Cricetulus griseus: one gene and its partners. The protein of the gene in region 6 purifies or fractionates together with the protein of the main gene of each other region. This does not show direct contact. Links are inferred from orthologs where the notes say so. Each region holds a gene or a part of one and is shown on either strand. Other genes may lie near its edges. The genes, in order: Sin3b, Sap30l, Ing2, Sap130, Sap30, Sinhcaf and Brms1l.

Evidence for each region.
Region 1: the proteins of Sinhcaf (region 6) and Sin3b purify together in Homo sapiens (affinity purification with mass spectrometry; 3 studies listed by BioGRID and IntAct, counting the BioPlex papers as one, with this or other methods). This does not show direct contact. The link is inferred for Cricetulus griseus from reciprocal best matches to the Homo sapiens genes SINHCAF and SIN3B.
Region 2: the proteins of Sinhcaf (region 6) and Sap30l purify together in Homo sapiens (affinity purification with mass spectrometry; 3 studies listed by BioGRID and IntAct, counting the BioPlex papers as one, with this or other methods). This does not show direct contact. The link is inferred for Cricetulus griseus from reciprocal best matches to the Homo sapiens genes SINHCAF and SAP30L.
Region 3: the proteins of Sinhcaf (region 6) and Ing2 purify together in Homo sapiens (affinity purification with mass spectrometry; 3 studies listed by BioGRID and IntAct, counting the BioPlex papers as one, with this or other methods). This does not show direct contact. The link is inferred for Cricetulus griseus from reciprocal best matches to the Homo sapiens genes SINHCAF and ING2.
Region 4: the proteins of Sinhcaf (region 6) and Sap130 purify together in Homo sapiens (affinity purification with mass spectrometry; 3 studies listed by BioGRID and IntAct, counting the BioPlex papers as one, with this or other methods). This does not show direct contact. The link is inferred for Cricetulus griseus from reciprocal best matches to the Homo sapiens genes SINHCAF and SAP130.
Region 5: the proteins of Sinhcaf (region 6) and Sap30 purify together in Homo sapiens (affinity purification with mass spectrometry; 4 studies listed by BioGRID and IntAct, counting the BioPlex papers as one, with this or other methods). This does not show direct contact. The link is inferred for Cricetulus griseus from reciprocal best matches to the Homo sapiens genes SINHCAF and SAP30.
Region 7: the proteins of Sinhcaf (region 6) and Brms1l purify together in Homo sapiens (affinity purification with mass spectrometry; 3 studies listed by BioGRID and IntAct, counting the BioPlex papers as one, with this or other methods). This does not show direct contact. The link is inferred for Cricetulus griseus from reciprocal best matches to the Homo sapiens genes SINHCAF and BRMS1L.

The regions. Positions count from the first base shown.
Region 1 is NW_023276806.1:247,456,737-247,460,236, reverse strand, and holds part of Sin3b (paired amphipathic helix protein Sin3b), read right to left. Parts: intron 3,159-3,500; coding exon 2,985-3,158; intron 2,778-2,984; coding exon 2,685-2,777; intron 1,176-2,684; coding exon 1,081-1,175; intron 809-1,080; coding exon 604-808; intron 476-603; coding exon 245-475; 3' UTR 1-244.
Region 2 is NC_048600.1:71,858,106-71,862,325, reverse strand, and holds the start of Sap30l (histone deacetylase complex subunit SAP30L), read right to left. Parts: upstream 2,801-4,220; 5' UTR 2,577-2,800; coding exon 2,379-2,576; intron 1-2,378.
Region 3 is NW_023276807.1:39,045,738-39,049,700, reverse strand, and holds the start of Ing2 (inhibitor of growth protein 2), read right to left. Parts: upstream 2,801-3,963; 5' UTR 2,663-2,800; coding exon 2,494-2,662; intron 1-2,493. UniProt on the Homo sapiens protein: Seems to be involved in p53/TP53 activation and p53/TP53-dependent apoptotic pathways, probably by enhancing acetylation of p53/TP53. Component of a mSin3A-like corepressor complex, which is probably involved in deacetylation of nucleosomal histones.
Region 4 is NC_048595.1:205,706,563-205,710,790, forward strand, and holds the start of Sap130 (histone deacetylase complex subunit SAP130), read right to left. Parts: upstream 2,801-4,228; coding exon 2,747-2,800; intron 2,290-2,746; coding exon 2,172-2,289; intron 1-2,171. UniProt on the Homo sapiens protein: Acts as a transcriptional repressor. May function in the assembly and/or enzymatic activity of the mSin3A corepressor complex or in mediating interactions between the complex and other regulatory complexes.
Region 5 is NW_023276806.1:235,754,622-235,757,306, forward strand, and holds the end of Sap30 (histone deacetylase complex subunit SAP30), read right to left. Parts: intron 834-2,685; coding exon 711-833; 3' UTR 501-710; downstream 1-500. UniProt on the Homo sapiens protein: Involved in the functional recruitment of the Sin3-histone deacetylase complex (HDAC) to a specific subset of N-CoR corepressor complexes. Capable of transcription repression by N-CoR.
Region 6 is NC_048601.1:780,401-784,489, forward strand, and holds the start of Sinhcaf (SIN3-HDAC complex-associated factor), read left to right. Parts: upstream 1-1,289; 5' UTR 1,290-1,469; intron 1,470-1,666; exon of another isoform or gene 1,667-1,802; intron 1,803-4,089. UniProt on the Homo sapiens protein: Subunit of the Sin3 deacetylase complex (Sin3/HDAC), this subunit is important for the repression of genes encoding components of the TGF-beta signaling pathway.
Region 7 is NC_048598.1:146,557,675-146,561,697, forward strand, and holds the start of Brms1l (breast cancer metastasis-suppressor 1-like protein), read right to left. Parts: upstream 2,801-4,023; 5' UTR 2,666-2,800; coding exon 2,524-2,665; intron 1-2,523. UniProt on the Homo sapiens protein: Involved in the histone deacetylase (HDAC1)-dependent transcriptional repression activity. When overexpressed in lung cancer cell line that lacks p53/TP53 expression, inhibits cell growth.

The DNA of each region.
Region 1 (3,500 bases), on a different chromosome or scaffold from region 6:
CGACCACTAGGAGCGCAGGAAGGAATAAATACTGTGCATACGCATCTAGAACTGTGCGGAGGGGCTGCCCTCGTGGGGACGGCCCCTGCCGTTGCCCGTGGTCTGGTCTGCACTGCAAGGGCTGGCTACAGCTCTTGCTTGAGGTCAAGGCATGACCTCGGGCTCAAAGCAACAAAGGCCCTGTTGGGCATGACACGTGGGGTCGGGGTGGGCACGGGCACGTGCTGGGACCTCTTCCAGATGCTCACGGCGAGGCAGGGCGACGGCTGTACTGCACGCGGTAGCGTGTCACGGGCAGGCCGTGCACGTGTGCAGTCTCACAGAGCGTCTTGCAGGGTACCATGTCCTCCTCCTCTTCCCCCATCAGCCAGTCCTGCACCAGCCCGGCAGCAGCCACAGTCACATTGTCTTCCAGCCAGCGGCTGTGCCACTCCTCGAAGTGACGGTGGTGGCGCAACAGCACCAGGGGCTGCAACTGAGGGAAGGTGCATACGTGTGAACTCCTGGGGCGGGGTGCGGGGTGGGGCTTAGGGCTGGATGTGAGGTTCATGGGCTCCGAGTGTGGGGCTCAAGGGCTCAAGTGGGTGGGTGTGGATGCAGCACCTGCTTGGCACGGCACAGCGTCCCGCGGCGGTACATGTAGTCCTCGGAGTTGACGATGAACACCATCTTGTGTGTGCCCAGGCGGAAGCGGCAGTCCACATCGCAAGCGCTCTCCACGCCCATGAGCCGCTTCCACGAGCTCTTGGCCTCCCCACGCAGGGCACGCACCTGCTCACACTGCCAGCGCCGGAATTTCTTCAGGTTCCTGCAGGGACAGGGCCTCGGGGAGGGGACTTGCGGCCTCTGGAGGTCCAGGCGATGGTGACCGCCCAGCATGCATGACACTTCATTCCCTACTCTCCATTTCCATAAGCTTCTCCCAGCAGGATTGCCGGGTTGCTCCTTCTGCTCTCTGGGGGTGGGGTGGCCTCCTGTTGGCCCTAGACTACCCCCTCTACCTCCCACAGCTCCTCCTCATGTCTTATGTCACTGCGCAGCAGGCACTGGCAGGTGGCACATGTGTGGCCCTGTACTCACCTCTGCAGGAACACAGGCTTCAGCAGGAAGCCCCCGGTAGGCGAGCTGGACGCACCCTCAGTCCCCACGTACTGCTCCACATAGCGAGCCAGGTGCTGGGCAAGGGACAGACATACCCTATGACCCCCGGGGGGATAAGGTGACCCACCTCTTATTCTGGATCCCAAGTCAGACACTCATGTGAGCTTGTACCCCAACCCCAAAGCATAATGAGACCAGCCATGGCTGAGGGCTCTGCTGTGAAAGGACACTACAGCCTTAGGTCTGGGGCCAGCCTCCACGGGAAGTCTAGGCACTCACATGGCATCCTCACCTTAGTACAAGCTTTGAGCCACGGAGGACAGTGCAGAACATCAGGATATACAGATATAAAAAGGCTGGGTGTATGATTCAGGGGTGGGAGCCCCTGCCTAGAATGCCCCAGTGAGGGGCTGGGGACATAGATCAGAGGTAGAGTCCCTTGCCTAGAATCTCCAAGGAAGAGGGATCCCCAATTGAAGAAGTGCCTCCATCTGATAAATGCGTGGACATGTCTGTGGGAGCATTTCAATTCCCAACTGGTATAGGACCCAGCCCATTTTGAGCAGAGCCACCACTCCGCAGGTGGGCCTAAGCTGCAAGCCAGTATGCTCAGCTCGTGCCTGCTTGCCTGGATGGACTGACTGGTGTTACCCCTCTTCCCCAAGATGCTCTTGGGCATGATGCTTATCATAGCAACAGAAGGCAAACCAGGACAGTCTCCAAACAAACTCCATAAAACATGTTCTCCAGCCAGGCGTTGGTGGCGCAGAGAAACCCTGTCTCGAAAAACCAAAACCAAAACCAAAAATAAAAGTGTTCTCCAAACTTGGGAAGGGGAAAATGCCTCAGAGTGTCACCTACAAGGGGAATCCATGTGCGCATGCAAGTGTGTGTGTGTGTGTGTGTGTGTGTGTGTGTGTGTGTGTGTGTGTGTGTGTGTCTGGTTCTGGTCCTTTAGAGTCTTGGGACCTGTGTGTGACCTCATTTGCAATCAAAAATCAATTTATATTCTATTTTGCAGCACTGGGGATAGAATCTGGGGCCTGGCCATGCCGAGCAAGCATCTACCACCAAACTACAGCCCCAGGTTGTTTGTTTTGAGACAGGGTTTCTCTGTATAGCTTTGGCTGTCCTAGAGCTCACTCTGTAGACCCAGCTGGCCTCAAACTCACAGAGATCTCCAGCCTCTGCCTCTCCAGTGATGGGATTAAAGGTGTGTACCACTATCTGGCTAGGGCAGCTAGAACGCTCGGAAGTGGCAGAGGCCACAAGGGGCTCCTAGCAGCTCTGAGGGTTAGGACCTGAGCACCCATGGATTTTGGACCCCAGGCATCCAGGATGAGAGGGTATGGCTCTGCTCTTGCAATGTCCTACTCTGTGGTCACTTGTGGGGGGCCACAGGAAGTGAGTGTGCACACTAAGTGACAGGCACACAGGGACCCTGGAAGGTACCAGGAAGACAAAGGAAGGGTCCTCAGTGACTGCTTTGGTGCTTACATGGATGTATTTTTAACTGTCAGCAAAGTGGGAGACCAGGAATGCGGCTGCACACAGCTGAGGACAGACAACAGGAGCAGACTCACCTGCACCTCCACGGGGTCCTCCGCCTGCGCCTCCTCAGTGTCCAAGAGCTCTATGGTCATGATCACCTGTCCTCTGCGCTGCAGGAACATTACCTGGGGAGGTGGTCACAGCCTGAGCAGTCATCAGCCATCCCTACCACCCTCCGAGGCCCTGGCACTGCCCTGTAAGAGGGACCCAGCAGGTGCTACGGCTACTCCTGGTTCACAGGAGTGGTGACTGTGCCCCTGACCCCTGCTCAGTGTCCAGTCCTCTTCCAGAAGCCTTGGCCTTTAGTCCCAGGTCACCCCACAACCTCTCACCTTGAAGCAGTTCTCATCGGCCATGCAACGCTCCGCCTTCCACTGGTAGCTGGTCTCCCGTGCAGCACGGACACAGCGGGAGGACAGGTTCCCGCCAGCTGCACCTCGCTGCTGCTCGTTCAGGTACAGCTCCACCACCTTCAGACACACGTCGTCGCTCACCAGGTGGTGAAGCTGGCAGAGAGAGCAAGGCCACGGCTGCCACCTCCTGTATCCTACCACCCCCGAAGCCACAGTCCCATACCCCTGGAAACAAGTCTGTGACTGGGGACAGGGAATGAAGACTAGATCACATGGTACAAATAACAATTTTTTTTTTTTTTTTTTTTTTGTAGGCAGACCAGACCAAACCAAGCCAGACCAGAGCAGACTAGACCAGAGTAGACCACATGAGCTAACTGTTGGGGTGTAAGAAATGTCCTCAAGAGACACATGTGCCCTTTGAAAGCACTGCCCTCATCTAAAACTTCCTCTCAGATGTGTGGAGACAAACAGCCCTTTTGCCCATTTCTACAG
Region 2 (4,220 bases), on a different chromosome or scaffold from region 6:
ACCTCTTACACGGCTACAAACTGGGATGGCTTTGCCAGATTCCACTTTGGCAACAAACTTTCAGATGTAAGTATGTGCCACTGTCCTAAAGAGTAACACTCAGGTGATACAAGACTACAGAACATGTATCCCTGTCCCACCCCTGGCAGCTGGCACTTGGGTTGGTAATATTGGCATGTGCCTCTTGAGAGAGCAAGCTGCTTCTCTCATGTGTAGTGCTAAACAGAGAGCAGCAGAATGAGGTGTTTCTAAATCTTAGATGGAAGATGTCAGACCCAAGGTCCTCCCACCAAGCTTTGGTAAATGTCCCCTTTCTCCTGCTACATTTCCTTCATACTATTCCCAACTTCAGCCACTCTGCAAAAGCAAAGGAGAAACATGCCCACTGCAAGTTGGTTACACATTACAGAGGCTGCCAGTGTCCGACCTGAAGGGTTGTGGTATCTTATTTTAAAAGGGTGCCCACTAGATCCTTTTAGGAGACAGCCTTTCTCTGTCCTTAACCATGTTCAGCAACTTCAGGGCTCAGAGGCCTCTGTGGGTGGGGTGGGGGCATGGGGGTGGGGCAAAGGCTCAGTGTGTGGTTGTCTTTCTTTCCCTCTCTTTTCACTTGCTACAACAGCTAAAACTGATTGTAACACAGTAGTAACTTGGGATTGGATTCCTGCCCAAGTCTGTGGGATGAAACAAAAACTCTTCCCACCAGCACCTTGAAATGGACTGGAACTGTTTCCAACCACACACCTTACCAAGCGCAGCCTTTGGGAGACCAGATGATCTGTGTGATGCTCAACACTGCTCCACAGGGGTTTCCCATGGGCTGAGTGGGTAAATGGAGTCCCTACTGCCACAACAAAACCATCCAGATGTGAGACTACTTATCGAAATACTGCCAGCAGTCCACAGAAAAGTCAGGCACTGTTTCCAAGTGAATAAATTCTTTACCATTCTAGAATTCCCTTTTCACTCCCACATGTGATTATCAGGGGACACCTTACTGTCTAGCCGGTTTTTGCTTCAGAATAATTCATTCATTCCTCATTAATTTATCAATAGATATTTGTAAAAAAAAAAGTCCCAATCATAAAAAAAAAAGCACTGTTCAAAAAGAACCAGACTATACTGGCTGACTAAATAAAACTGAGTGTGCAAGAGAAGAGTCTAGAAGAAAAGATGTTGACCTTATTTATTAAAGGCAAATGGAACTTGGGTGTAGGGCTTGGAAGCAAGCCAGATAATTGGTCTAGGAAATTAGCCAGCGCCTAAGTGCAGTGTGCATTTGCATCATCGCTTCCTACCCCAGCCTCAGTTTCTGCCACATCATTAGCATAAAACAGGCTCCCTTTTCAGGTAACAGGCAATATCTGAGTGCCCTAACCCAGTGGTTCTCAACCTGTGGGTCGCGATTCCCCCCCCCCGGTCATATATCATATATTTACATTACGATTTATAATAGTAGCAAAATTACAGTTATGGAGTAGCAAAGAAGTAATCTAATGGTTGAGGGTCACCACAACATGAGAAACTGTATTAAAATGTCACACCATTAGGTAGGTTGAGAACTACTGTCCTAAACGTGGGTCATTAATCATTCAAGTTCCCTGAATATTAAAAGTTCCTTAACCCAGTCCCAATTCTTAATCTGGAAGCTGCCACTCAAGGCTTGCAGCAACAGATGTCAGACTAAAAAGTTCGTAACTGGTTGGCAGTAAGCACATAACCGTTAACAAGAGCAGGTGAAATCACTCAGGAAGTTTCCTATAATTAGCCACAAGGCGCAGGGCAATCCCATTCAATTTTAAATGTCCGCCTCCGTCTGCATTACCAAATATGTTACCCATCAAGAAAACTGATTCCCCGCCTCCCTCCAATCACATCCACTGCAAGAGTCATCTAAGACCTGGCCTTGGCCTTATTTCTGCTACATCTCAGAAAAATTCATTCGCTGCCAGCGAAGCGGGCTGTGCTGCGCTGCAGACACAGAGGCCGCGGGAGACAGGAAAGTCGCGGCCACCTTGCTAGTGTCTGAAAGAACGACAACGTCCCTGAAGGGAGGACGAAGTTGGAGAAGAACCTCCGGGTCCCCTCGTCAACTCTTATCCCCAAATTCTTGCAAAAGTAGCCCACCTCTCTCTGTTCTACTATCCGGCGCAACAGTGACAGCTGGAAACTGCTGTCACTTTCCCAGGCAGGGAGAGTGTGCAGAGCCCTCCTCGGCCCCCCAGCCCACCCTCTGGGATGCGGGCAGCGTCGCGGAGCACAGAGCGGCCTCCACGATCCTGAGTCTCCTGTTCTGCACAGACCGCGCGGCGAGGCCCAGCGCACCGAGCGTCCCCGGGGTCCCTGCCCGCGGCCCTGCGCTGATCCCCGAGACTCACGCTCTTGTCGATGTCCAGCTTGAGTTTCTTCTGCGAGATGCTCTTCTGCACCCTTTTGCTGAAGGAGGCGTTGCCCGCGGGCCGGACGCAGCGCTCGCCGTCCGCGATGAGGCAGCAGCTCTGGCCGTAGCCCGGGGCGGCGGCGGGGGTGGCAGGGGGCCCTTCGCGGCTGTCCTCTTCGGTGCTGAAGCCGTTCATCTCCCCGCCCCGGCCCGGCCCCTCCGGGGGAGGGCCCCTGTAGGCCACTCCGCCGCTGTGAGCCCCGCGGGGCAGCTCTCCGTCAGCCCCGCGCCCGAGTCCCACGGTGCGCCCCGGGTCAGACGCGCTCTGAGCTCCGCGAGGCCCGGCTGCTCTGTGCTCCTGCAGCCCGGGCCCCGCCGGGAATGCACACGCTGAGGCTCCGGCCCGGGCTCGCGAGCCTCCCCCGGGATCCGGGCCCGGCCGCCCTGGGGCTCCCGAGGCCCGCCGGCTCCCGCCTGCTCTGCAAAGTCTCCACCCCGCGGCTCCTCGCGCGGGGCCCGGCCTCGAACCTGCCGTGTCCGGGCCCCGCGGTGCTCACGGCCCGCCCCAGCGCCCTGCCGCTCGGCGGCGCCCCGAGTCCCCGCGGCAGCCCCTGGGCCGCCCCGGCCGCCGCCCGCCCGACGCGCCGCACCACAACAGTGCGCTCCCCCGCCCGCCGCGGCACAGCGGAAGTCCCGCCTCCATGCGCATATTGGCCGTATTCTCTGTATGGGCGGGGCCTTCGTCGCCGCTGGCGTTCCCCATTGGGCGCCGCCGCTGCCGGTCTCCGGTGCCAGGCTACTTCCTGGACTCTGCTGGGATGGGTTCAAAGTAGAGAAAGTGCAAGAGGGAAGAGTTACCCGGGCGAGGGAGGGGAACGGGCCGCAGGTTCAGTCCTAGCTGTGGTGTGGGTCTGGAAGAATGCAAGATCTTCTGGTCCCAGTTAGGATGGTGAGCAGGGTCCTCGCTCCGAGGAAGAATGCTGAGCGGGGTCTGGAAGAATGCAGGGTGTCCTGGGCCAGTGGAGGATGGTGAGCAAGGTCCTGGCTCTAGGGCGAGATGATGAGCTGGGTCAGAAGAGACGCGGGGTCCCTACTCCGGGGATGAATGCTGAACAGAATATGGAGGGACGCAGCGTCTCCACTCCGGGATGGGATGCTGAGCGGGGTGCCCATTGCGGGGACGAGATGCTGTACCAAGACAGGAGGGACACAGGGTCCCGTCGAGGGGCGGAAAGCTGAGCAGGTTCCTAGTTCCTGCGCAGAATGCTGAGGTGGATCCCGGAGCAAGGTGCCGGCCCCGGGACGGAATGCTAAGCTGAGTCTGGCAGGCCGCAGGGTCTGGTATACCGAGCAGGATGCTGAACGGGGTCTGCAGGAAGCAAGGTCAGAATTCAGCAGAGATCACGGTCGAGGTGGACTGAAGTATCGAAGACTGGATTGAAGAAGTATCGAAGACGTGCATGGGAGAACTAAGGGACCCGCATAGGGGAGGGGTATGTGAAAGGGGACCTTAGGGAGAAAGTCCTGACAGGAGAACACACTGGGTAAAACGGAAAGGCCTGGGCTGGAAGGCCTGCGCAGCAGCGGGAGGTAGAGTGCATGAGTGCATGACAAGGGACAGAAAGCCAGTGTGGAGGTACATTTGCGAATAAAGAGGGTGGAGAGACAACGGAGGTCTGACAGGAGAAGTAACAGTCTTTGCCCCCAGCCCCCCGTACACCGAGGAAGGAGGGGCTTAAAGAGGAAAATATGGGTTGGGGCAACCCTTCTCTGGCTTGTTCTGGATGTTTTGTAGGCTGAGGCAACAGAGAAAGGCCCTTAGGCCACCCACAGACGACTT
Region 3 (3,963 bases), on a different chromosome or scaffold from region 6:
CAATCAAAAAAAAACTATACAGAGCAAACCCATGAGAATGCTATCACATTTATATGAAACTGCCAAAACTACATCTGATCTTAGAGAACTTTTCACATACCGTATGAAAGGCACTTAGAATTACATAATACATTTTAGCTCAAAGGTTGCTATTTTCCTAGGAAATTATGAATAAAATGCTACAGAGACCATAAAAGTTTTCTAGTAACCATATCCTGCAATGAATATTTAATTCAATTGTTTTTCTTTATTTCTCTACTTAATGGACTGTTCAGTAATTCCTGAAAGACTCACTCACATAGGTGAGGAAGCAATTTCATTGCCTCCCTCCCTAAGCTCCGTTATATTAGCACTGACTCCCATATTAGCAAATACTTAAGAATCAGTGAAAATAAAATCTGAACCAGGTGAACATGAAAATATATAAAGCTTCTAACAAAATAAAACTGAAGTTGAGCTTGGCAATTATGTGCATAGAGCAGAAGCTAGGCCACTATGTTTATATTAATCTTGGAATCAGCCACAATCATAATGGAGCCAACGGCTTATATGGACATTTCAGTATTGTAAGGTCTCCTACTCATGTCATCGGAGCAATTTATGACAATTATAGATTACTGGGGTCAAAGACTTCCCTGTCAAAAAATGTCATTATCAAGCTAATTAGCCTCATTTTTTTGTGCCTTTACAGAATACAGTGTTAATATAAGGAAAACTACAAATTTTGGCACAGAATTCTTAAAGCATGTGTCCCATTGCTAGACTGCCATTCATGTATGCCCCCATGTCTGCAGAAGAAAAAAACAAAAACAAAAACCAGGATGATGCTCATTTTCTTAAAGGGTGGGAGGAAGGGTGGACACTAGGATAGTGGTAAACCCTCTACCTATTGTGTGAGCTCTGAATTCAATCCCTTAAATGAGAGGAGTCACACAATCTGAAAACAGTTGTGTTCTTGAAGTAGACAGCTTTGAAATACTCTCCACACAATTAACTCAATATGATACTTTAGCGCTGTAAATTTTATCTATAAAAGTGATTTTTTTTTTACCTCATATGTTGAAACTGGTGAAGATACTGGAATACTGTAGAAACAATACATTTTTCTCCCAACAGAATTAGTCTTACCAGAGACTCAAAAAACAAAATTGTAGGTTGAGACACCTAAGTGTTCCAACATGTTAAAACAATGTCACCATGAAGTGAACTACAGGATTAGTTACAGGCTTGGTGACATGTCTGGAAAGAATGGCTACAAGTTGCTTTCACAGTCCACATTAGATCCACGCTGTTTCTTGACTCGGGATTACTAAAGGAAGAACCTATCCCTCCCCATTTAAATTTCTCCTGTCCTAGCAGCAGAAAGGTACGACAGTCCCTAAAGATGATTCTCTGCTCTAGTTTCTTTGATGACAAACAACAGGGGGGGGGGGGGGAAAGCTTTTCAACTCGTTTAAACTTGGTGGAGGAGGAACCCAAGGGTGCAGGGACGCCAGGTGGTTGCCCAGCCAACGAACCCACTTCCTCCAGAGGTCCGGAAGTGACACACAGCCCGGAACCTACGCTGAGCCAGGGTCAGCGACAGTCCCACAGCAGTGCCCGCGCCTTGATTCACTGGGTAGGAGAGATTTGAAATATCACCACCCCAACACCGACTCCGCCCAGGACCGTCTAGGGCCCCGCCCAGCGGGTCCCCCGCGGGCAGTCAGTTCAGTCCACCCAGGCCCCTCCGAGCAGCCCGCCGTGGCCGAGGCCCGCGGGAGCGCGCGCCCCGCCCATACGACGTCACACCTGCAGGCCCCGCCCCTAGACCGGGACCGGGGCCCTCCCCGCCACACACACAGACCCACACACACACAGACACACACACATATACGTACACACATACAGACACACGCACACCCTCTCAGCCCGGCCCTGCGGGGGACCCCTCCCCCTTTAACCATTTGGCAGGAGCTGAGGAAGGGCTGAGGCACCGGGCGGCCCGGAACTTTCCCCGGGGCGAGAGGGAAGCACAGACTGTCCCTGTCCCGCGCCACGCCGGGAGCCGGAGGGGGGAGGCCGTCTCCCAAGTCCAGCTTCTCCGTCCTCTCGCCCCCTCCCCCCGCACGTTCCAATGCATCTGCTCGCAGAGGGAGGGAGGGGGCCCAGCGGGCAGGGGCCAGAAGGCCCAGCACCCAGCCCAGCCCGCGCCCTACTGCACATTCGCCAGCCCGGGGCAGGACAGCGTGCGGCAGCCAGCCGGCGGGCACCGGAACAAATGCTCGCTTAAAATGGCTGATTCCCGTCCGCGGCGGCGGCAGCTGCAGCCAGCCGCCTGGGCTGCAGCGGGGGCTGACGGGCGGCCCTCGGAAGTCCTAGTCAGCCGCAGCCGGGACAGGGGAGGGCCGCCAGGCCGGTCTGCAGTGCTCCCCCACCGTCTCCGGGTCCCACACACCAACCAGATCGCTCGCCGCACTTCACGGGCACTGTCACCGGAGAGAGAGAAAGTACCTTGGTATTTGTTGTCCAGCTCCCGCAGCACCGACACGTTCCTCTGCATGTCGTGGGGCAGCGACTCCACACACTCCAGGTAGTCCTGCACGTAGCAGGTGAGCAGCCGGCTCCGCTCTCCGGTCAGGAGCGCGGCCGACGAGTACAGCTGCTGCTGCTGCCCTAACATCCTGCCGCCGCTGCTGCTCCTCGCCGCCGCCGCCGCGCCGCCTCCGCATCCAGCAGCCACACATGCAACAGCCACGGCCGCCGCGCCTCCGCTCGGCAGCCCGGCGCCGCGGGGACACGGCCGCCGCTCGAGAGGGCACCGCCGAGTCCCCCGATCTCCACTCCCCCCAGAAGAAACCCTCACTCCCCGCCCCCGCGGTAACAAGCCCAGGGGCGGGGCGAGACCGGGGCTCCCTCCGGCCCCCTCCCTCGCTGGGAGAGAGCAGCGGGGTTCCCCGCGGCCGACGGCGCCGGGCTCCCGAGCGGTGACACTGGCTGTCCCCCCGGGAGTCGCCAGACACTACCAGGGCTGCCCGGTCGCCCAGATCCCCGTGACAAGTCCCTCGCTGCCCTCTCTCCGCGCTATCAGCCTCGGTGCCTGTCGGAGTCTCAGTGGACTTGCCCCCGCCCCTTCGGCAGCGGCCGCATCTGCGCCTGCGCAGCACTCACTCCTAATAAGGCTGGGGCCCCGCCCCTATCGCCCTACCGAAGGGTTCGCATTCTCCCGCCTTCCCTGCGCCACCCGGGCGATTGGTCTGTCAACTCTTGCCTGGGGTGGGGGGGAGGGTGCGGAGGGTGGCCAAACGGCAGGCTGCGCCCCGCCCCCTCTTAAAGGGGCCGCATGGCTGAGCCTAGCCCTTCGCCCGGAGTCTGACGGTTGCCCCCGGGAGGCCAGGCCATCGGGTTCGCCTTTCTGGACCCCACGGGGATAAGGGAGAGCCGGCCCGGCTCGCTCGACCCCGTGGTACCGACCTGGCCTCCATCTGGCGGATCCAGCGCCTCCCTCGCGAGCCCTCCAAGACAGCGAGCGGCCCCTGGGCGCCGCTGGCCGAGTGAGGCCTGCGGGAACTAAGGCGACCCAGGGTGCAGCGGGCGCGGCTCCGGGCATGCGCGGCGGCTTCCCGCCGAGCGCCCCGCGGCCGTGGCGGCTCACCTCCCGCCGCTGCCGGCCTCACGGAGCACCGGGGCTGACCGCGGAGGTAGGCGCACCGCCCTGTGCCCTCCCTGGGCTTTTTAAACGCCGAGTCCCCGCCTCGCGTGCGGCCCCCTTCCCCAGCGCCAGGGTGCCTGGCAGGGTCTGCTCCCCCTCCTCGAGCGCCTTCCGTTTCGGTTTAGGGAGAAGCTTGCAGGACTGTCCCCCGAAACCACCTTAAAGAGAGTGTTCTCTGGGGTCGAACCACGAATCAATTAAGCATCAAACGCCAGCGAGGACTTGGCTCGGCGGTACACTGAGAAGCCCGCGCGCGCGTGCACAAGCACATG
Region 4 (4,228 bases), on a different chromosome or scaffold from region 6:
TAGCCAGGGTTGGTCTTGAACTCCTGATCCTCTTTCCTCTGCCTTCTAAGAGTTAGAATTATAAGCATGCACCACCATATCCCATTTATGTGGTGCTAGGGATGGAACCCAGAGCTTCAGTCTGCTGGGCAAGCAGTCTGTGCAGAAAGCTGCATTGATAGCTACTGGAAAAAGGAACCTGGATGATGATCATGAAGCTATCCTATCATGTTGGACTGGTTAATCCCAGACTTAACATTTATTTGGAAAATAAATTAGGTTTACTTAAGAAGATAAAAGGAAAAACAGATAAAAAGTACTGATTTGGAAAATGAAAAGAGGAAGTCACATACAGGTTGACTGTTCATGAAAAATTTCAAAAAGCTATTAAGTTTTGAGCTGGGTCTTGAAGTGTGTGGAGAGTACAGGAGCATGAGGGTGAACTATAAAAACAGTCTAGGAAGGAAGTCTTAGGATTGATTAGCACGAAGCAGCAAACTGCAAAGCTCCAAAGACAATCTCACCTTTCTTTTTTCCATAAGCATAACTCTCATTTCTTCCCCTTCAAAAAACAATGTTCTGAGCTCCAGCCCTTTAAATCACTGTTCTGAACTTATGCCAAAGGCAAAATATTGTTAGCACATTTTTTGGGGGGGTGAGGGTGGGGGTAGGGAGTTGTCTTACATAGCTTAGTCTTGGACTTGCTTTGTAGCCAAACTTCAGCTACATTGTTTTAAACTGATTAGCTTTCTTCAACTACTCAAGTGCTTGGACTACAGATGTGCATCACTATACCTAACAAGAAATAAAAAACTTTAGATGGCTCTACAAGAAGTTGTTGACCACAACTTGTGCTATTCTTTATAGCAAGTATGCACATGAAACACACAGGAATGTGTCTGAAATGCAGTAAAAAAAATAAAGTCAGCAAAGACATCCAGAAAATGGCACTTTAGATGAATCCTCAAGGAAGAACAATTAGCCAAATAACTGAACCTGGAAAAGAAGAAAAACTGTGCCATCAGGGAAATGGGATCAAGCCCTGGGCCATGAAACCTGGTAACACTGCATGCAGAAAATGAGTAATTAAAATTAAGTTAGCAAGAAGTCATCAAAGCAATAGAAATGAGCCCAAAATAGTAGGGCCATAGCTCACTGGTAGATAAAATCAGCCAGGCATGGTGGGACAAACTCTCTTGAGGAGGATCAAGAGTTTGAGGCCAGCCTGGGCTACATTATGAATCAATGCTATGATTAGGGGAGGAAGAGGAAAGAGTAGAGACAATCAATTACAACTAAGATGCCTCAGCCTTTGGCTTGAGCGATGAATAAACAACAGCAGGATTTGCCACAAAGCATACATGAACTGAATGGTGATGAAGCAGACCAGGAAGAGGATTGCATTTCAGCTTACAATATGTATTTAATACAGAGTGAAAACATTTGAAGATTGCTCACTGGCTTTGATAATTATTTGAGGGCTAAAGTAGTTTGGTGCATTTTAGGATGTTTAGGACTTCTTAGTTGTGACAACACAAATGTCTCCAGGCACAGCCAAATATTGTTATAGGCAATATCATTCAACAATGAGAATCAACCAATCTATAGCACTCAAAGGACCTATTACAAATAAAAACCAAGTTGCAAACATGTGCATATATACTCTTCAACCATCTTTTCCAGGGCTGGGGAAATAGCTCAGTCAGTAATAAAGTACTTGTCAGCCTAGCTTACTCAGAATCCCAGACTCAGTGAGGGACCCTATATCAAAAACCAAGGTGGACAGTTGCTGGGGAAGCACATATAAGGTTGACATCTGGCCTTCAAACACATGCATGAAGACAGAGACACATTCTATTTACTTCTCTTCCTAAAATGTAAAATTTCTGTCCCACTCACTGTTGGGTTCTCTCATGGCACTATCACCATGCCTGTACCCTGAGAGTTAATTAAATGGTAACACACTAATACATTTAAAAAAATGTTTCTTATAAGCATGGTTTACTAAAGTTGCTCACTTACCCTAGAATATGAAAATGATTTTAAAAAGCAGGCCTATTTTAAAACAGTGTTTTATCACCTCTTTTCCTCAAAGTCGGTAGGCTAGTAATCATGAGAGGGAATTTGCTAATTTGAAATTAGTAACATTATTAAAACAGTAAGCAATATGAAGGAAATGTAGCACATCTCACCTGTGGCAACTTGGTTTATCAAGCCCGTGGAACCACTGTTTGCGACCTGTGAGGGTGCCTGGCTGAGTCCAGGGGAAGGGGTCCCTAACCGAGGAAACTGCTGAGAACTCATTTCCACCTACAAAACAAGTCGGTCCATTATTACCAGGTTCTGAAATTAGAACCAACATTGAGAGATCAAAGCATCTTTAGTAATCACAACATCTCTCAGAAACACAAATACAGCTTCTTCTATCTAAAACAATGAGTTACCATCAATGGTGCAAACACCTAATTGAGGACTTTTTTATGTACTAAGAAGGCTAAATTAATTATGACAACCTTTATACAAGTGTTGTAGGATACTATAGCCTTCCAAAAATACTTATGGATCTCTATATTTAAAAAAAAAAAGTAGACACTGAATGTTATATAGCCGCCAAATGCAAGCTACCACCATAACCATAGGCTATCTATGTAAAATTTTATGGGAAATAGCATGGCTCTTTTAAAGACTCAGGCCTCACATCAAGATAAACAGAACCGTAATTAGTATGTCATAATGCCCAGCCCCAAGAAAGGATTGGAAATCTTACATTAAGACCCGATGCTTGCGGAATCCTCAAACGCTTTTCCGTAAAGGCCTCCATTTAAGGATTTTCTTTCTTCCTCATCATCGACAACCCCCCCTCCCAGCCCGAGACACGGGTAGGACTCGAGACCTTTTCCACAATCTCTAAAATCGTCTTCCACTTTTTCCTTCGGAGTCAGGCTTCGCCGATCTCCCCTCTACCCCAGTTAACCCCATTCCTCCTCCGAGATCGTAGGACACGCGTTTCCAGACACTCCGGGTGTCGAGGATCTGTCTCTCCGGGAAAACGTCCTACGGAGCCCTCTCCGCAAGAAAAGCAGTGTGCCTTTTTATCTGTGGCCGCCACGAAGGGCTCGAGGGGTTCCGCAGGCACAGAGGGAACGCGATTCGGAACGCGTCCCGGCCCGCCTCAGTTCAGCCCGCCCGCCACACTCACCCCCACGGACAGCTGCCGCTCGGCTCCCAGTCCTCTTACCACCCAACCTACCCCTGCCTCCCCCGCCCGCCCATTGGTCAGACACTGGGCGCATCACTGGACTCAGTACCAATTCGCAGCTGCCTGCGCGTTCTGGGCCCGCCCCACCCTCCCGCCGGCCGCCAGCCAATAAGATGCCAGTCTCGCTGGGGGCGGGGAGCAGCCTAAACTCCTCGGCTGGGCGAATAGAAGGCAAAGAGCTAGGCGATCCCTGGCAAGAAGGGCGGGGATCCGGGAGGCCCCGCCCCGGCAGGGGTCTGAAAGCGGCGGGCGCAGGGCCCGGATGTGGAGAGTCACTTTAAACTGCTCCAGCAGCCAAACTCCATAGGCCGTCCCTCCCTCCCGCTGACTTCCCTACGGAGGCCCGCGTCCGCCACGCCCCCACGCCCGGGGCTGCCCACCCCTCGGTGTTTCTCGCCCTTCCTCGCACCGAGCACCCGGGCCCTGCCGCCGACTCAACCGCTCTGCCCAGCTCGCTAAAGAGCTGGAATCAGGGCTGCAAAAGCTGTGCGGCTCTGTCCTTCCCCAGGGACGAGCACCGGGACTAGCCATGCAGTCCCGCCCCCTCGACTCCTCCCCTCCCTCCCGGCTCTCGTTCCGCCATTACCTAGGTGCGGCCACGCCGCCTCTAGCTTGCTCCCGTGCGCTCTCCGCCTGTGGGGCTAATGTCCTCGGGCTCCGGACCCGCAGTCACCGCCGGACCGATAGCACTCTGTCCCCCCACCCCTCACTCCAGCGCCGCTGCTTCCGCCGCCGTAACGAGACTTTCGCTCACTGGCTGCGACAAACCCCGCCCCTCTCCCAGACAGCCACTCCTCGCCTGGAGAGAGCAGGAAGGCCGTCGGTCCCGCCTCTCGGACCCACAGAAGCCCCTGGGAAATGTAGTTCCCTGCCCTAGGAGGGCGGGGCCTGGGGGACCCGACGCGGGCTTCCTCCTCCTTCGCAGTCCGGTCTGGACTGTTATGCCATTTCTTTTTGGGACTGAGAAGGTAAAGGATTCCACGCTGTTGC
Region 5 (2,685 bases), on a different chromosome or scaffold from region 6:
AATGTAGGGTGTCTTTGGAAAGAGAGAGGCACAGAAACTACCTGTTTTTCTTCATATGCCTTCAAAGAATAATAATAACAATGCAAAAGGGAAATTTAAAAGTAGTTAAGAATCAGTGGAAGTCTAATTTTTAAACCTGCTAACATACACTGTGAAGTATTTTAAAAAAAAACACTGTTAGCCTGAAGTAGAGCTTGCCTTTAGTCTGAACACTTGGGAGGCAGAGGCAGGTGGATCTCTGAGTTCCAGGACAGCCAGAGATACCTGTCTCAAAACCAACAGACGCCCCCCCCCACCCCACCACCACCACCACACACTTACTTACAAATCAAATTGATCTAGGGAAATTACATTTATCTGTTGTTTCTCCTTTACCTTTAATTACTTGGAATTTTCAAGAAAAATTTACAAAATAAGGATCTTTACCTGAAACCTTAATACCAATTCCTGAAAGCTTAAAACAAAAACTAAGTTTCACAAAATAAATACACTGAAGCAGCTATAATAGTAATAACCTTTATTTAAAATAGTTTTAATTTAGGAAGCTCATTTCATATGAGTTTCCAACTAATTATTAGAATCAAAACCAAACAAAAAAAGCCAAAGAAAATCCTCTGTAGAAAAAATACCCAAGAACATTTCTACATATGAAAAACAGTAAACATTCTTTACAGCCAGACATCTATGTGCTAGTGTGAATGCCATCTCTCCTAGTGAACACCACTGTCGACCTTGAGATCTGATTTGTTCTTGTCATTCTTCACTGAGTAGATAAAATATGTTAGGGTGTCTTTTTCATTCACTGGAATAGACCTAAAGTGGCAACCAACTATCTACAAAGAAAAAAACAAATTAAATGTTAGATGCAGCAGATTCTGTGAGCCAGGTAAAAGGCACAGTTTAAAAAAAAAAAAAAAAAGGCACAGTTTAGGCCATGTGTTATATGGCCACAAGAGATTGTCTTTTAAAAATTAAGCTGTTTTAACAAAATATGAACAGGCCCCAAAGCACATTTAAAAAAAACAAAATATTATCAACAAAGGACAGTCTGATTTCAAAGGACCCTTTAGTCTACTCAATTCATATGCTCTAATTCTAAGTATTTTACTTGCTTTGGTCCACTGGTTATAAGTATTTTTCCCTTTAAACTTAACAACTTATAAAGTACATATTCTTAAACATTAAATATCAATGACATAAAACAAAAGAGCCAACGTGCATGTCGACTGCATTCACAGGAAAAGATTAATGTAAACAAAACAACAAAAACCCTTGGTAACAAACTATGATATCATATACAATTTTGGTGCAATTGATATTCATTCTCCCTAAGTTTCAGCAAAATTTTCTGAGTAAGATTTAAGAAAATTAAAGGAGCTAGAAAGACGCTCAAGAAGACTGCTTCCCTGTCTTTTCACAGCACAAACCAAACATGCACACTGAGCTACCAACACGAATAAGAAACTGAGCTGCTAATGTGTGCACTCCGATTCCAGAAGATGGCCTGTTTTTCTAGAACAGAAAATAACTCTGTACTAATTCAACTGTTTTTAGAAGACCAGACTTTAAAGTTGAGATTTGAGTTATAAACTATATGATGTTATATCATACAACGTTTGCATCAGTTCTTGGCTCCTCTCTGTTACAAAACAGGGGCGACCATACTTCATTAATGTCTAGTATATTTCATCATAGTAGGGAACATCTTTATGTTTATGTACTGTGCCATGGTAAAAGGACTAGATCTTTAAATAAAATTTGAAGAAAAATTATATTTTTGTCTAGGCAAAAAATAGAGGAGAAAATTTGGCTAGTTAGCATATTGAATTTTAATAATGTAAAAGAACTTTCTACAAAGAATTGCAACTTGTATTTATCTTTTATTTAATATGCACATTAGAAATGTAGGCTAACTACTCAAGTCAAACCCAAGAATATGAGAAAACTCATGTAAACACACACACACACACACACACACACACACACACACACACAGAGAGAGAGAGAGAGATTTCTGTCCTGTCTATTTAGTGGAAAAGTTTATTTTACATATAAAGTCTAATTATTTAAATCTGTAAATACTTTAAAGTGCACAGATTTTGTGGCTCTATTACTTCTTGAAAACACACACACACACACACACACACACACACACACACACACACAGCTAATTTCCAAAGCACTCTGAAGGAACCAAAGTCCTATACAAAATAAACTTTAAGTAAAAGCTTGGATAAAATCTTTGCTCTCTCTCGATGTAAAGAAAGCATCTTCTACTTAAAAACAACAACTACTAACAAAGACAACCTGAAAGTAAAACTAGAAAGTTAGGAAGTACTGCTTCAGGGTTCATCTGTAGGCCTATCCCAGAGAAGCTTTGAAAACTAAATTCTGATAAATGCTTGTAAGCTTATTTATTTGTTATGCCTCAATTAGGTGTTCAATAAACAGACATTGAATAATTAGAAACCTAAAACAGATTTCTGAAGTGATTAAAAACTCACTAAATACTTACTCTGAGAAATCCCTATTAAAAAATGCTGTAAGTGGATTTTCTAGGTGACAGACAGTTGTTTCTAAACCACTATATGCACACCATGATAGACCCATTAACTCTGACTTTCTTAGACATTAGACATTTACCTATTTCATCATCATTTAATCACAACCCTTGTTGGTGTGAAC
Region 6 (4,089 bases):
GTTGGCTATTGAATTAAAGAAGCACTTCGAAAGTATTTCTTTGAATCTGTAATGTTGGTTGGCCCTACAGCAAAAGCAGTAAAAGCAGCAATGATGACGTTTCGCAGTGATTTTTCACTTTGCAACAAGGGACCAAACATCAAGTTCTTGAAAACAAACAAACAAACAAACAAAAAAACCAAAACCATCCTTTTCTCCTTCCTCTCCCCATCATGCTCCAAGAATCATTCAACCATTTGTTATGGGTTGCTGGGCTAAAGGAGTCATATCCGGATCGTTCTTTCATTTCCTACTTTTCCATTTGAAAAAGATACTTCAGGATCATTCTCCCCCCCCCCTTCATTCTTTGGAACCTCCCTTTTGTTTCCTCTAGATTACGTCCTTCTAGAATTGTCTCTCTCTTTTTATTTTCTTTAGAAACATTTAGGTGTTAGGTTACCATGTATTCCGCAAGGAACACTGTATTTTTGCTTCCACTTTCTGTCTTCCCCAAGTGGCTTTTCTTGGGCGAGGTGCTCTCCGTGTCTTTTCAGAAAGTGGCACCATCCCCGCAGTACTTACCACCATGCAGTTCGCAGAGACTGGAATACTTAGGTCCAAGCGAGCAAGAAAAACAACCCAGCTGCGGGTTGGATCACGTCTGGGAAGGGCAATGGACAGTGCCAAGATGGGACTTTATTAAACGACTCATTAAAACTACAAGAAGGAAACCTTTGCTGGAGAGCTGACGTTTTTATTTTGTGTGTGTGCATGTGGAAGTGAATTTGCAGAAGTCGGTTCTCGACTTCAGATGTTTTTCGAAGTACTCCGCCAGGCCATTAAAAGATTTAAAAGACAAAATGGAAAGCTCACCTTCAAACAGATTTTAGGCATGGTGAGGAGGACAAGTACAAATTAAGTGCGTGCTTCCAAAAAGCCTTTTCTGTCACCTCAAGCTAGAAACTGTGCAGAGGTGCGCAGGATGATGCAAAAACACCTTCCAGAACTTTCTGCGCCCAATAGAGTCCTAAAGGGGTGCCGCTGGCGGAGGAGAACCGCTCACCTTTACGCCTTCCGCGCCCTGCCACGCCCCCGCGTCGCCTCCCTCCCCGGGGCGTTTGTTTACGTGACTTTGCGTAGTAGACAGGCCCCGCCCCCCGTCCCCGCGGGCCGCCGCGTTTCCCGCGCCGCTTCTCCCCTTAAAAGGACAATAGAGGCCGCGGGGGCGCGCGCGGACGCCCGGCCCCCTCTCCCCGCCCAGCCCGCCACGCGCACGCGCCCGTATGCAAATCAGTTCGATTCAAGAGAATTTGGTCCCGGGAGCCGCGCGTGCGCAGAGGGGAAAGCGGAATCTACACCTCCGTCCGCGGTAGCAACTGAAGAAACTGCAGGAGACAATCTTTCTGGACTCGGCGCAAGGGCGGAGGGAGTGCTTGCAGGGGTTTGGCCTGGTGCAGTCCGCACCGTGGGGACACTGCTGCGCGTGGAAGGTGAGTGATTCTAGTCGGGACCCTGGTGCAAAACTGTCTCCGGGGCTCCGCTTTCTGCGGCGCTTTTTTCCCTTCTTTCCTCCCTTTACCTCCCCCGCCTCCTCCGTCCTTCCCATACACAAACACACAGGAAGTTTTGTCTTGGAGATGGCATTGCGGGGAGCGCCGTCCTCGTGCTCCGCGGGACTCCAGATCCCTTTGTACGGAGGTGTTGGATGTGCGCTTCTTAATTGGGGAGGGTTATTTGAGGTAAACCGAAAGTCAGGGCGCGGGGGAAAGTGAGTGCAGCGTGGAAACGGAACGGGCAGCGGCGGAGTTGCATCCACGCCGAAGGTGACAATGACTTTTTCTCAGTCGTAGTGTCGTCCGTGTCCCCCTCCCGCCACCGACCCCAGAGAGCTGAGTCGGGGTCGCGGAGCCCCCTGTGGGCTCCGGCCGTGGTCTCGCGCGCCGCGACCCCCCGCGCGCGTGTTGCACTCCGGAGGCGCCCGCGACGGTTTGCACGCGGGTGCACAACAAAGCCGGAGATCGCAAACTTAACTTGCCACACCGCCTGGAGCCGGCGGCCGACATGGGCTCACGACCGCCGGTGAGGGCCGGCTCCGGGGATTGCGCGACGCACGCGGCGTGGCGTTGTTGGCCAAGTCCGCAGGGACGCGTCCGCGACAATGAGCGCGCAGCACGCGGTCGCCTCTGCACTCGGCCGGCGCCGAGCGGTCTCTGCAGCCCCGAAGTTCGCCGCCTGTCCGGTCACCTGTAGCGTGGGCGCGGGCGTCACGCGAGGGGTGGCCGTGGCCCGCGGAGCCCAGTGGGCTCGGATGTTGGCGGCGACGCAGTCCTCTGCAGGAGGGACCCAACTCTTTTTTTTTATTTTGATCTTTGTGTGTGCTCCACCTGACAAGCCACGTGCTCAGGGCCGCGACCCGTCTGCGTCCGAGTGTCCGGCTCGGTGTGAGCCGCGGGCTGCGGTCGCCGTCGGGGCTGTCGGGGAGCAGGACAATGTGATTTCCTGGTGATGGCGTCTTGCCAGTTTGCAAAGCAACAGCCAAAGTCGCCAACTCGCAGCCTGCGCGCGGCGGGGACCCCCGGGCGTTTCTGGTCGCGGACTCGGCAAAAGTTCGGCCCCCGGGGGCGCCGGCGGCCGAGGACACCCGAGCCCTCCCGGGGCCCCGCGCGCGGGTCCCTGTCGCCCCGACGCCGCCGGACAACAAAGGGCCGCGTGTGCCCGAGCGGCGCGGGCCGGGCGGGGCGCCGGGCGGCTTTTGTCCCTCAGGTCCTCTCGGAAACTTGGGCAGCGGCGCGGCGGGGCTGTGTCCGTGGGGGCGCCTCGGCCCGCGGGGTCACCCATGCGGCGCGACGGAACGTCCGGCACTCGGCGGGGCGCACGCGTGGCCCGAGCTCCGAGGCACGGAGGCCGCGTCTGGGAGGTCCGTGCATCCGCCTTTGAAGTGGAACTGTTGCCATGTTTGAATTACGTCAGGCCGAGCGTGCGGAGCGGCCCGGGAGCGGAGGCGCGGCCTCCGGGCGGCGCCGGCGGGGCGCGGGGCCGTTGTTCGGCGCAGGTGAGGGCGGCGGGTGGCGCGTGGGTCCCCGAGCCCGGAGCGCTGCGCTCCTTTGAGGAGTGGCGCTCCGCCGCGCCCCACCCAGGACCTCCGGCCGCACGCGCGGAAGTTTCGGGGCTCCGGGAAGTGGCGGCTGCGGAACCGGGGGGTGCGTGCGGTGCCGCCTTTGTGTGTTTACACGTGGGGCGAGCGGGGAAGCGCAGGGCAGGTTGGACAGGGCGTGCTTTGAAGCACGGGGCAGTGCGTTCTGGTGACGGATCAAGCACCCCAGGTCCGCCTCCCGTGTTTGTTTTATTCTCACCTTTCGTGACTGCAGGTGAAGAGTGACTACGGCGACAGACGCCCACGACACAAACACACACCCACCAGTATTAGGAGTGCGTTCCTAGTAGGCTCTTCGCCCTCTCATGTTTTCTTAAAAAGATCGAGGCAACTTTTGCCTGCTTTTAGTAAGAAGAAGTCGACGTGAAACTTGTCATTAGCAGGGTACTGAAAGCACCTGCTTTTGAACTGAAGTTTGCCAGACTTGAGAATAATTTTTAGTGATCGGTGCTGCAGAACTGAACACGTTTAAATTGCCCACTCTAAATGAAGGTCTGGGATTCGCTTCTGAGTCGGGGCAAAGCTATTAAAAAAAAAAAAACCTGTAAAAATATGCAGAGGATGATTTCGGAGGATTTGTGTGTGTGTGTGTGTGTGTGTGTGTGTGTGTGTGTGTGTGTGTGTGTGTGTGTGTGTTTTGACACAGATAAGTCTTAGGGATGACCTTGAGGACTCTGGAATTGGGGAGTAGGGTCTTTCAGAGATAGTAAAAAGACTCTGGGAGAAGTTGCTGGAGTATGACAATGCTAGGGATTCCTTGCTAGCTTCACAATTACTGGGAACTGGGTTGACCTTCGAGTTACCCCTCTTAGACTTTTTTCAAGCTAAAGTTTTTTTTGGTATGTGGCTCCAGGCATAGCTCAAAAATTATGCTGGTTTGACACATGGATGCTTCTTTGGTATTTGGGGTTTGCCTGCAGTCTAGACATCCAACCAGCAGCACAGTATCTGTTGCT
Region 7 (4,023 bases), on a different chromosome or scaffold from region 6:
CTCCCATTAAAATCCAAGGAGAACATGGGCTGGAGCGGTGGCTCAGGGGATCTGAACACAAACTGTTCTTGCAGAAGACCAGACTGAGTACCCAGCACCCACACTGGGTGGCTCACAACCACTTGTAACTCCAGCTCTAGGAGATCCAATGTCCTCTTCTGGACTACATGGCACTGTCACTCATATGCCTGGTCCTACACACACACACACACACACACACACACAGACAGACAGACAGACAGACAGACACACACACACACACACACACACACACACACACACACACGTACACACATAATTAAAAATAAAATCTTAAACAAACAAAAACACTTGAATATAAAAATGCTTTGCTCCTGGGCTACATAGCATGTCCTCTATATCCCACCAAAAAACAAAAAAAAAAAAAAACAAAAAAAAAAACATTTTTCAGATCCAAGAACTGTATTTAAAGTATAAATGTGATTTATAATCCCCACTTCATGTTAAATAATTGGCTAATTTTGAAATCTCACCTATGTCAATAGATAGGCATATGACTTACTTCAGAATTATTATTCTTCTCATCCCAGGCGGGTTCCAATGTTACATTTCCACATCAGTTCAGACATTCTTACATATACAGACAGGATCCCCAACAGCAATGTGCTCAAAACATTTTATCCTCAACTCTGGTATTTTACCTTTCCACTAGTGTTGATGAGACCCACACCTCTCCTGCAATCGAGCTTTCCTCTTCACTCCTAAAGTTGGATTCCTCAATTCTGTTTCTTACCTTCTTTGAAACCTCTCAGAGCTTACAGCTGTCTTTGCCTTTTCAAGCTTGTTGGTCTCCCAACCAAACTGGTTTTCTCCTTCCCCAATAAGCCTTGAACTCTGGCCTTTGCACCTTTTCTTACATTCCTTCTCCTATATGAACTTTCCACCTTAACTATCCCAACCCAAATGCTTCAAAACAAGGCAGTCCCGCTTTCCTCAACTAAACGGGCTGACCGACCACTCAGTTCTCGAAGTCTCTGAATTCCTACAGCATTATTTTCATTCAATCGTTTATTTGGCAACTTCCAGCAGTATTTTTGGATATTTTATTAACTCTTTGAGAATTGTACAATGTATTTTGAACATAGTCACTTCCCCTCCACCACCTCCTCCAGATCCACCCATCTACCTACCCACCCAACTTCAAGTCCCTCCAGTTTTTCTTTTTTCTGAAACCATGGAGTTCCATTTGTTTTGCCCAGCTGTTCTTGGGTTGGAGCCTGCCCTGACATGTGGCTGACCTACCAGGGGTCATGCTACTAAAGAAAACTGACTCTCTCCCAGCAGCTATCAAATGCCAATAACTCCTCGGCTAGTGGTGGAACCTCATGAACACTCCCACCCCAAGTCACACTGGGATTTCTTCTGGATTGAGTCTGCTCAGGTCTTGTGCATGTTGTCACAACTGCCTTGAGTTTGTATGGTCAATCTCTCTGTTAAGTAAGGAAAACACTGAGACTTTACCTGAGACAAGATAATGTAACTATATATTTATATCTCATGGTGAGTAGTGCCCAATACTGAGCAAAAAGCCTCCCTCATAAATATTTACTTTTGAATGGCTGACTTACTGCCATTACATTCTACTCTAACAGGCAAACCTAAAAAAGAGGGGGGGGGGTGGAGTGATAACACACTGTCATTAACCTGTTAATAATGCTTCCCTTATAAACATGGCCAAAAACAGGGTTAGACAAAGACCATTCTTATCATATGGTCAGACAGAGAAAGATCCAGAAAATCACAAATACCACTGGCCTCTGAATGACAATTATTGAAGATTTACAAAATGTATTTGTAGTGTTAATCTACCTCCCCCATCAAAAAAAACATAAAATATAAGTGAAGTAATCAGAAACAGCCCAAAGTTACAAAATCATGAACGCTAGTAGATTCTGGGAATGTCAACAATGCCCACATCATCCAGATTAAAAAACCCACGAAGATTCGAAATCATCCCTCAGACTGGTCCCTTCTTGGTCTTGAAAACTTTAGGGACCTACTATGAAGCAGAGAGTTCCCAAGTTAGTCTCCTCAACAGCAATGATGACAGTACATGTTAATGAGTTCCAAGCCCACAAGGACCTACTAGGCAAACCTAGCCTCAACCCCGACACGCGTTGACAAGGGTTGCTGACACTTAGTAGGTTGGGGAAAGGGACTTTTCCACGGTCTTCAAGACCAGCCAGCGGGGCACTCCACTCCCCCGTCGGTAGCCCCATGGCACTGGCAGGCGACCCTAGGGCAGGCCCCACCGGAGAACGTAGTCGCCTCGGGTCCCCACAAGTCAGCGCCCGCCCCGCCAACCCAAAGCCCGAGCTGGCGGCGCCCCGCAGCTCCCCGGTGCCGGAGGCCGAGCCAGTCCCCGCCCCTTCCCCGTCTCCCCGCCCCGCGCTCGCAGCAGGACGCGCCGCCCGGCGTGAGCACCGCGGCCTGTCGCGCGCCCGGCGCTGGGACCCGGCATCCCTGCCCAGCTGGGTCGCGCACCTGAGCTGTCCCCATCCTCAGAGACCGACGAGCTCTCGGTGTCCTCGTCTTCCGAGCTGCTCCCCTCGTTCTCCGCGTAGTCCACCTCCATCTCATCATGATGATTCGTCTCCTTCTTATCCCCTCGGGAATGGACCGGCATTTTCCAGCCGCGCCGTCGCTTCCCACTCCCTACTCCCAGCCCGGCCACTGCCGCTTCAGTGAAGGGCGCGCCGAACGCCCCGGATCACCCCGCCGCCGAGCTCGCACCGAAACCCTCGGCTCCTCCCCACCCCCGGCCCGGGCCTCACAACCTAACCCGCAGGCTGTGCGCTCCGAGCTCTGCCATTGGCCAAAGTTGTCCTGGAGCTGGGGGCGGGGATTATCTCGTAGACATACGATTGGCTTCCCGTGATTACGGAGCGGCCTTCTGATGTATGTCGGGAGTTGTAGTCCTTAGGCCTTAGAGCTTCAGGGGCTGTGGGTTTCTAAGGTCCAGCTGCCTGAATCGCTTCTAACTTCGGACTTCAAGTCCCACAAGGCAGGAAAGCTGACATACTGGAACGCAGTTTATAAACTAAACAGAAACAGATTGTGCTGATTTAGTCAGTATTTATCCTTTTCCCGCCAAGTGGTTATCTGATCTGCCTAGCTACGCAAAATGTGAAAAGGTCCTTTGCCTGAAAGGGTCTTTCCTTTCCGAGCCTGGAGAGCTGCGGAATCGTCTCTTCTACCTTAGTAGTACATTTATTACCGCGAACAAACTGTTAAATTGAAATGTAAGTATAAGAAATAAAAAACTTGTGCTTTTTAATTTTCACAAAGAAATTTTAATCTTGAAATTTTTACAGCCAAAAATACAGAGGGGAAGGAACTTATATTTCAATTTAGCATATTTTTGCATATTTTTAATGAAAAATGCCATCAGTTTATTTGATTTCAGGCTCCAATGTAAAATACACGTTTGACTGAAAGAGATTTCATATTTTTACCAAGACAGGATACACAGACAAGTAGGACGCAGTAAGTACTGTGATTATTGTAACTCATAATAGGTGGCCTCTCGCTTTACCTCAAGTTGTCTTGGTAAGCTCATTGCACGCGTTAGAGGAGTTGAATTTTCAGTTCAGTAGCCCTGAAGTGGAAGTCATAATTATATCCATTTTGTAAACAAGAAATCATTTCCAGACAAATCTTTAAATATATTTTTCGAGACAGGGTTTCTCTGTGTAGCTTTGGAGCCTATCCTGGCACTCGCTCTGGAGACCAGGCTGGCCTTGAACTCACAGAGATCCACCTACCGAGTGCTGGGATTAAAGGCGTGCACCACCAACACCTGACTAAAATATATTTTAGGTTTGGAGTGGTGGCACAAGTTCAGAATCATCCTCAGCTACTTACTGAATCTGAAGCCAGCGTTGTCTACCAAAGACCCTGGCCGGGGACAGGAGGGTAGGGGAGTAGTGAAAAACTGTATTTCCCCCCTCATAAAGATAAGAGCAATTTACTATTGAAAGGTAT